2 linked regions of the Tribolium castaneum genome follow. The protein of the gene in region 1 binds, or shares a complex with, the protein of each later gene. Links are inferred from orthologs where the notes say so. Each region holds a gene or a part of one and is shown on either strand. Other genes may lie near its edges. The genes, in order: disp and hh.

Region 1 (4,363 bases):
GCTACAAACAGTAGCCAACGCAGAAGCCATGAAGGTAGGTGCTTTTTTTTCTATTTATCTTGTGAGGTGTTGAATTTAATAGTTTGAGTACCATATATTATAACGTATTGTGTATTCTTTATTTTATTTAATGTTGATAACAGTCGTTTGTTGCAAATAAAGATTTTTTAATGGTGTGTTTCAATTTTTTTAATGTCTTGCTACAAACAGTAGCCAACGCAGAAGCCATGAAGGTAGGTGCTTTTTTTATTTATCTTGTGAGGTGTTGAATTTAATAATTTGAGTGCCATATATTATATTTTGCGTTCTTTATTTTATTTAATGTTTATAACAGTCGTTTGTTGTAACTTTCATGCAAATAAAGATTTTTTTAATGGTGTTTTAATTTTTTTAATGTCTTGCTACAAACAGTAGCCAACGCAGAAGCCATGAAGGTAGGTGCTTTTTTTCTATTCTTCTTGTGAGGTATTGAATTTAATAGTTTGAATGCCATATATTATTACATATTTTGTATTCTTTATTTTATTTATTGTTCATAACAGTCGTTTGTTGTAATTTTCATGCAAATAAAGATTTTTTAATGGTGTTGTTTTTAGTTTTTTTGATGTCTTGATACAAACAGTAGCCAACGCAGAAGCCATGAAGGTAGGTGCTTTTTTTCTATTTATTTTGTGAGGTGTTGAATTTAATAGTTTGAGTGCCATATATTACAATGTATTTTGTATTCTTTATTTTATTTAATGTTTATAACAGTCGTTGTTGTAACTTTCATGCAAATAAAGATTTTTTAATGATGTTGTTGTTATTTTTTTAATGTTTTGCTACAAACAGTAGCCAACGTAGAAGCCATGAAGGTAGGTGCTTTTTTATTTATCTTGTGAGGTGTTGAATTTAATAACTCGATCGCCATATATTATAATGCAGCATATCCGTTTGTATTATTTATTTATTTAATGTTTTTATCTAGAGGCAACATCGAATTGCAAAGAAAACATTTTGATTTATTATTTATTTTCAATTTCAAACTTTTCGTTAAATAATTCGTGTTTGAACAGTTCCTCTTTACCCATCAATCCCAGTATATAGTTCAACCTTAATTGCATATTTTATGTACAGTTTAAGTCATAGTAAACAATTTAGTGTCTTCATTTGGAATTTATTAGAAGATGTCCCTATACCTCTATTGCAAATAAATCAATGTCCATTTATGTTTAAAAAAATCATTTAAAACATAAAAATATTTCGTGTTATTTTAAACGCATATAATTTTGCAATATCCTTTTATTGTGATAAGCAAGTGACTTTTTGCTAACGTTGGTAATGTTCGCACGCTTGTAATCAACTAATCAATTTACCTTCGTTTTTGCACCTGTCATTTTGCAGTTCTGTCAAATTTGTGTTCAAAACTTGTGTGAGATTTCTCTAATAATCGTTTTTAGTTTGTGTATGTGTAAGTGTAAAGGATTTGATTCGAAAGGACGACGAAGACCTTAAAAAGGTAAAAGTGCATATTCTAATTTATTAAAGACAACTTAAACCTAGACGAGTTTTTAAGTTGTTTTCCATTATAAAAAGCCACCACGCACCGAAGTTTAATATTTAATTGTCCATTTTTTGTTATTTGAGTCAGTGGTGCTAAACTAATATCCAAATTTCAAGTCACAGGCCACTTTGATCCGCAACGATTTTCAAAAAATAATTGTTTTCAATAATAAAGGGTCGTCGGCCTGATAAGACCTTTCCCTACTTAAGTATTTGACTTGATAGCAAATGGTTTCGTAATGTGATTGTTAGATAAACAATTTGGCTTACCAGGATAACCACAAAAAAAACCGTCGATTTCGACCGGTTTGACGGCGACGTTTTCAGCAGCTTTTGGGTGCAACATGTTTTGTAGAGCCCTCCAGTTATTATTTTCGTAGCTATTGTCAGAGCGATTATTACTTGCTTCATTTATAAATACCTGAAATGGTGGTTTAGAAGGGGGCGACTTGAGCGGCAAAGTTACATTAGAAAAATCGTTTTTTTGTTTGTTTTTCTTCTTTTTTCCATTTTTCTTAACTTTAGGTTTAAAAAATGTTACATTTCGTTTTATCAAAATATCTTTGGGGTTAATAGCAAATTGTCCTGATGGTCGAGTTGATTCATCTAAGTTCTTCCAAGCAGTTAGTCTGTTTGATATAGCTGTTCCTCTGGTAGTGAAGCCCTAAAAGCGGCGAATGGGCCTGAAGGTACCAAACTTGGCTGGACTTACCATTTTGGGGTCCGAAAAGTCTTTGAAGGGCTTGGTTTTCAGTGTAAAAGGTATCACCAGGCATGTACCAGAGAACACAGCAACTGCCGATATAATGATGTAGGGGTGATGGACGATAATATGTGCGAACCAATTCAAATTCATTTTTAACGCTTACTCCATTTACCATTTGAGATTGCTTCTAGTCCCTCGTCGAAAAATTGCTTGTAATATCAAAACCGCGCGCTGAATTGTGCGAAAACCGGTCATTTTAGGGCTGAAACGAGGTTTCGTAAAGCGCGTGCAAATGATCGAGTGACGAATAAAACAATTACCCTATTTGATGGAGCCAAAGCCACCCTGGATCGCTCGTCCGGGCAGCCGGGTGCGGTAACGGGTAAACTAACCACCAAAACGCGACCGCTTCGTGGAACCCCACCAGACAATTGCCGCAGCCAGCACCGAAAAACCCAGCCTGGAGTCACATTCCTCCGACGAACAAGGCGACGGCTGTGCGAATAAAACGCGAAAAATCCACTTTAATCGCACGAGTTCCGAGAAAATCGCCGGTGAAGCACCGAGCGGAGCCCGCCGATTGCGCCCGAACCGGGCGGCTCCCAGCGCGGTATCAAGGCCAGGCGAGATGGAAGTCAGCTGTTTATAAACAAATACAATACTTCAAGGACACAGCCACTCTCATACCAACAAGTCAAGGTTACTATCAGTGCATTCCCGGGACACGGACGGGATATCACTGGGACTGCGGGCGGGATCGCCGGTGTCTTAACACCGGGTTTCCTTATTGATTTTGAATTTCGAGAACGGCTCTTGATAAATTGTACGCGGAAACCGCAGGCAAAAAATTATCGATTGGCTTCATTATTCTATATTTGCATTTTATAAGCCGAAGGGCTCTTATTACATTAGGGCGAACGTGACTTATTAACTTCCCGGGCTCAAGGACTTTGTTTACCTCGCTTTTATTAACTCATAACGAAATAATCCCGCTTATTAAGCCTGAATACATTATTCAGGCAAGCGACAAAAAGAAAATTCTCTCAAAATTAAATTATTTATTCGACTAGCAACTAGATACAATTAAACGCTATCATTTTCCTCCTGTGCTTCCCTCTTCTTGAGCTCGTTGTATAACACTAGAGACGCCTGCAAATGACTAAATAAAAAACAAAACTTATTTTTAGAGTGCAACAGTTACATAAGCGTCTGTGGCTGCATAATCCAGCTGTTCCTTGCTTAACGGGCTCACATGCCACTTACTCATCCTCACTTTATTATCTTTAGAAATCGTCATTTTTAACTAAAACGAGAGCAGTAAAAACAGCCAAAATTTTTAACAAAATACCAAAAATGTAACTAGTCTTTCCATACTCCATCGTTGCTGGAAAGGTAATATTTGGTTTGCCAAAACGCCGCTATCAATACAATTCTCAATGTTTTTCTCAACGTCAAATCCGGCAAAATCCCGTGAAAGCTTCCTAATATCGCTAAAATAATGCGCGTGTTAATTTGAGAAATTCCCGTCCCAAAAATACTTTTTAATGTTGACTCCTGTGATTCTAACTTTGGGATGAGCCAACAGCACTGACAACCCCTTGGGGAGTTTTTTGAGGTCGCTTATTTGAATTAAATAGCACGTGTCCAGGTCGGGGCTTATCTGAATTAGGGCCGCTTTTCCAGGGCCGGTCTGGAACGAAAACGGCCATTCGACGTCAAAGCCAAGCACTAGGACATCAGCAGCCTCGTCGGCTAATTTACTAAAAAAGTGGTTAAAGGTGCCGCAAATAAATTTTCGGACAGAAGTACATCAAATTGTCGCAGGCGAGGGCACATTCGATAAAATCCCTGATGTAGATTTTTTTGCCTTTAAACTGAATTGGAGGCCTGTTCCGAAACTCCTCTTCCTCCTTTTGTTTTTTCAGTTTTTCCTAACAAAAGTGTGATAAATGAGGGGCTATTTTTGGTTTTACCACGTACTGCTTCCCTTTCTTCCTGCGGAACGGAAGATCTAAGCCGCATACGACCGTTTTCACTCATTTTTTTTAATTTTTGTGTGAAAAACAAGATTCAAACAAGTGTAAACAAAAAAGCCGGTACACCATCTTGGGATTT
Region 2 (3,824 bases), on another chromosome or scaffold:
ATAATTTTGCCGTAATTGAGGAAAAAAAACAAAAACTAGTTAATACCTCCACGTGTTTCCGAAAATTTTGAGAAAAAAACCCATCTATTTGAACCCAACCCATCTAAAACCCATCCCATATGGTAGATTTTGATCTGTTCTTTATAATTCTTTAGTTAATTTTCGGTACCCGGAACTTTTATCGAGTAATAACTCCGGAACTGTTAAGAGTAAATCCTAGTTATTATCGTTGGAAAGCTCTTTTAATAATCTTTCTAAGAAAAGATCATTCTTCTTCGTCCAATAGTTTTCGAGACAAAATGATAAAAATAGAGCAATAGGACGTATTTTTTTGATAAATCTTGAAACAACAAAGAGTATTGTTTTAGTGAAAATTTTGGATGAAAAAAACGTTGGTAAGCAATCGATAAGTAGGCTATTAGTCATCGTATTTGTGTCGCTAAAATTCGTAGTAGCCGCAGCAGCAGTGATAATGCCTGTTTGTATTCAAGCGCCAAACGGTGTATGTGTGTTATCTCCCGTGATAAATCCATCCATCTAATCGGGCCGGCGTCAAGTAATCGTCCTGGCAGCAGTGGCGTGCACCAGTCATTGAAATCTCCAGCTGGTGATGTTAGTTAGTTAGTTAGCAGTTGAGTTGGTGGCAGGCCAGAAATATAGTATGATTTGCGAGGTGCAGGTTCATCTGCCTCGGAGTTGGGCTCCGCCCGCTGGCCAATAGCCGCTGAGGCCGTCCGAAGATGGCCAGGGCCTTCAAGTGAGTGGGGCCAGTCAGTCGGTGTTTCACCTATGACAAGTGCAAGATGAGGAGTGCTGATGGTGCGTGCGTTCGGAGATGAGGTCTGCTTCGGCAGCGGCGCTCCTGCTAGCGGCCCTCCTGGTGGTGCAGGCGGTGCGGGCTTGCGGCCCGGGGCGCGGAGTCGGCCGGAGACGAGGGCCAAGGAAGCTCACACCGCTCGTCTTCAAACAGCATGTGCCCAATGTGCCGGAGAATACGCTCACGGCGAGCGGACTCACTGAAGGACGCATCGGAAGGAATGACTCCAGGTTCAAGGATCTGGTGCCCAATTATAACCAGGACATCGTCTTCAAGGATGAGGAGGGCACGGGGGCGGACAGGCTCATGACACAGGTACGAGAGAAAAAAGGGAACAAAAAACTTGAAAAAACACTTTTTCGATTTATTCTTTTCACAAAAACTCAAAATTTTGAGTCTGAAATAAAGCCAAAAATTACGACAAAAGTTGAGCAAAAAAGTTGAGCTCAACTTCAAATGTTAAATAATAAATGCTAATATGAGTTACTACATCTCGAAAATTAAAGCTGATAGAAAAAATCTGTTGGGAGTTTTGAACAGCACAAAATCAGACGCAACAAATATAAATAAATAAAAATAGTTATTCCAATGGAAAAAGTGACCAATTTTTGGCTAATTTTTGGAATTCAAATTTGCCAAAAAAATTTTTTTTTGGTAATGGATGTGGCCGGTTACATTGAAATTAAATATGTAAAAAACAGGAAAAGTTGAAAAATTAAATGCTAGTAAAAATTACCATTTTGGCTAATTTTTTGAACATTCTTTTCACCAAAACTCGAGATTTTGCACAGGAAAATTTAAAAATGGTGTCAAATGTCGAAAAATGTGTTCGTTGACCTGTGTCCTAAATAAGCTCAAAAAAGCAACTAAAAAGTTAAAAGCAAAAATATTAAACTCAATTTCAAATGATATGTTATGTAAAGGTAAATGATCGAAGAACAATGATAATAATTCGAAAATTGAGTCATTTTTCGCTGATTTTTGAGATTCAAGTATATTAAGTTTAAATAAAAAAAAAAAAACTCAATTTTATATTATTTCCACTTTTATTTATTCCTTAAATAGCTTATAGGATAATTCAGATGATTTTGTGTTAAAAAAATGAAACTTCGAAATTAAATTGGTAAATTAGATCGAAAAACATTAGAAAAAGGAACAACTGTAATTATTTTTTAAAAGATTGAGGTAAAAAGTGTTCAAAAACCATAATTTTGGCTAATTTTTGGAACATTAAATAAATTTTTTCGACTGATTTTTTTCACTAAAAGTTTCTATTATTGAAATAATTGTACAAGATTTAGAGGATGATCCAAAAACAATGTCAAAAGTCAAAAAATGTGTTTACTGATCTGTTACCTAAATTGCCCCGAAAATATCAAAAACAAAAAAAAAGTCGACTGATGTAAGATTAAAAATATTCGTCTCAACTTGAAAGGTTATGTTATGTAATGTTAAATGATCGAAGAACGATTTAACAGAAAAAGTGACCAACTTTTAGCTAATTTTATTTTTTTAATTCAATTGTTCCTTAATTCTTTTTAAGTTCTAAAATTGTATAAATTATTTCGACTGATTCTTTTCACTAAAAGTCGGACATTTGAGCTTTCATTTCTCAAAAATTGTATTTCTACAGAAGAGTCCAAAATGACATTAAAATTCGAAGTCTCAAGTTTATTCAGAAAATGAACATTTTTTTGCTCATTTTAATTTTGTTATAATTCAAAAATGATTTTGTCTCAAAAGTGTTCTGTGAAATTAAATTGGTAATCTAGGTCGAAAAACATTTAAAGAAACAGAAAAAGGTGAAATATCTAATTTTTGCTAATTTTTGGGTAAAAAATTTCGAGTTTAAAACGTGAAAAATAAAAAATATTTAAAAAATGTGTGATTTTCGAGGTTAAAACTTGTTGATTTGTTGTAAAAATCGGAAATTGATTCGGTCAACTAATTAGGTATTTATAGACGTGCTAATTGCATTAGATGCATGTGCAATGTCATTGTTGAAGTGCATTTTGCGTGAGTAAGGTCAGAAATAGAAAACTAGTAAAATAATTCGAAAAATCAAGCATGTGTTACGTGTTTGTACAGCGTGAGAAATATTCATATAAACATTAAACTGTTTGTTTGAAGAACAGTGTAAACCTGTCTCTGTCTCCAGACAAAAGATAATGGTATTTACACTTCGATATATTGAGATGAAAGAACCAAGGTTTATGAATTACGGCTCAAAAATTACAACAACGCGAGGAATTCGATGAAAATTTAATAAAATTATTAGTCAGCAGTTTTCTAGCCAAAATACCAGAATCGATAATGCGCTTATCAGCAGACGTGACTTAAGTCTGATTCAGAAAAGCGCTATTGTGTTTCTTGGGAAACAGAAAATGCGCTCGCTTTGGTTCAACTTTTCCTGGGATATGCCATAAACTCTTGTTTGTCTAATTAATTTTATTGCACGTTAAATACGTATAATAAAATTGTGAACCGCACCTTGTTAGGACGCTTTGTTTGCCCACTAATTAAAATCCATTCAAAAGTTGACTGAAATCGAGAGCATCAAGAGGAAAGAAGCCTTAAAAAGTGCGTGAGAACGAGCTTTCGAGACAATTTTCAGGTCACAAATTAGGTCAAGGAGTTTCGCTTTTCCAGCTTTATCAGATAGCAACCAACGCTCTTATCATCAAGTTCATTCATAAATAAATTTCGGTTTTAATGAGTCAATACCAACATAAAACCTGATACTTATTAGCCTATAAACTCTTACTTGAATTTTTCATCATACACAAATGACCGTTATTCTCTATTTGCTCTCGCTTAATCCACTAAATTCTATTTATTCAAAGATATAAACAGGTAAAAGACACACACTGTCGTAATACCCGGAGATGCACACGATTTTCACCGCCTGAAATAATCATAGACAAGAGGTTTTTTCCGTTTTGATTAAATTCCTCATTTATCGCACAAGTGGAGGAATTTCACTCATCAGATTAAAATCTGTAGCAAA

The links.
Region 2: the proteins of disp (region 1) and hh are in contact, whole or in part, in a cryo-EM structure (PDB 6TD6), measured with the Drosophila melanogaster proteins. The link is inferred for Tribolium castaneum from reciprocal best matches to the Drosophila melanogaster genes disp and hh. Residues at the interface, in NP_524734.2 of Drosophila melanogaster: His77, His78, Arg250, Tyr253, Glu296, Ala404, Gln405, Ser406, Asn407, Arg408, Gly434, Asn755; in NP_001034065.1 of Drosophila melanogaster: Tyr100, Pro101, Val103, Leu104, Lys105, Gln106, Thr107, Asn110, Leu111, Ser117, Glu164, Lys165, Val168, Ala228, Gly229.

What each region holds. Positions count from the first base shown.
Region 1 is NC_087403.1:5,666,634-5,670,996, forward strand, and holds the start of disp (protein dispatched), read right to left. Parts: upstream 2,989-4,363; 5' UTR 2,569-2,988; intron 2,511-2,568; 5' UTR 2,399-2,510; coding exon 2,255-2,398; intron 2,207-2,254; coding exon 1,813-2,206; intron 1-1,812. Other genes in the region: WRNexo (3'-5' exonuclease), read right to left, coding at 3,332-3,397, 3,450-3,551, 3,597-3,738, 3,787-4,008, 4,058-4,179, 4,229-4,288. UniProt on the Drosophila melanogaster protein: Segment polarity protein which functions in hedgehog (Hh) signaling.
Region 2 is NC_087397.1:305,751-309,574, reverse strand, and holds part of hh (hedgehog), read left to right. Parts: intron 1-420; exon of another isoform or gene 421-612; intron 613-679; 5' UTR 680-835; coding exon 836-1,132; intron 1,133-3,824.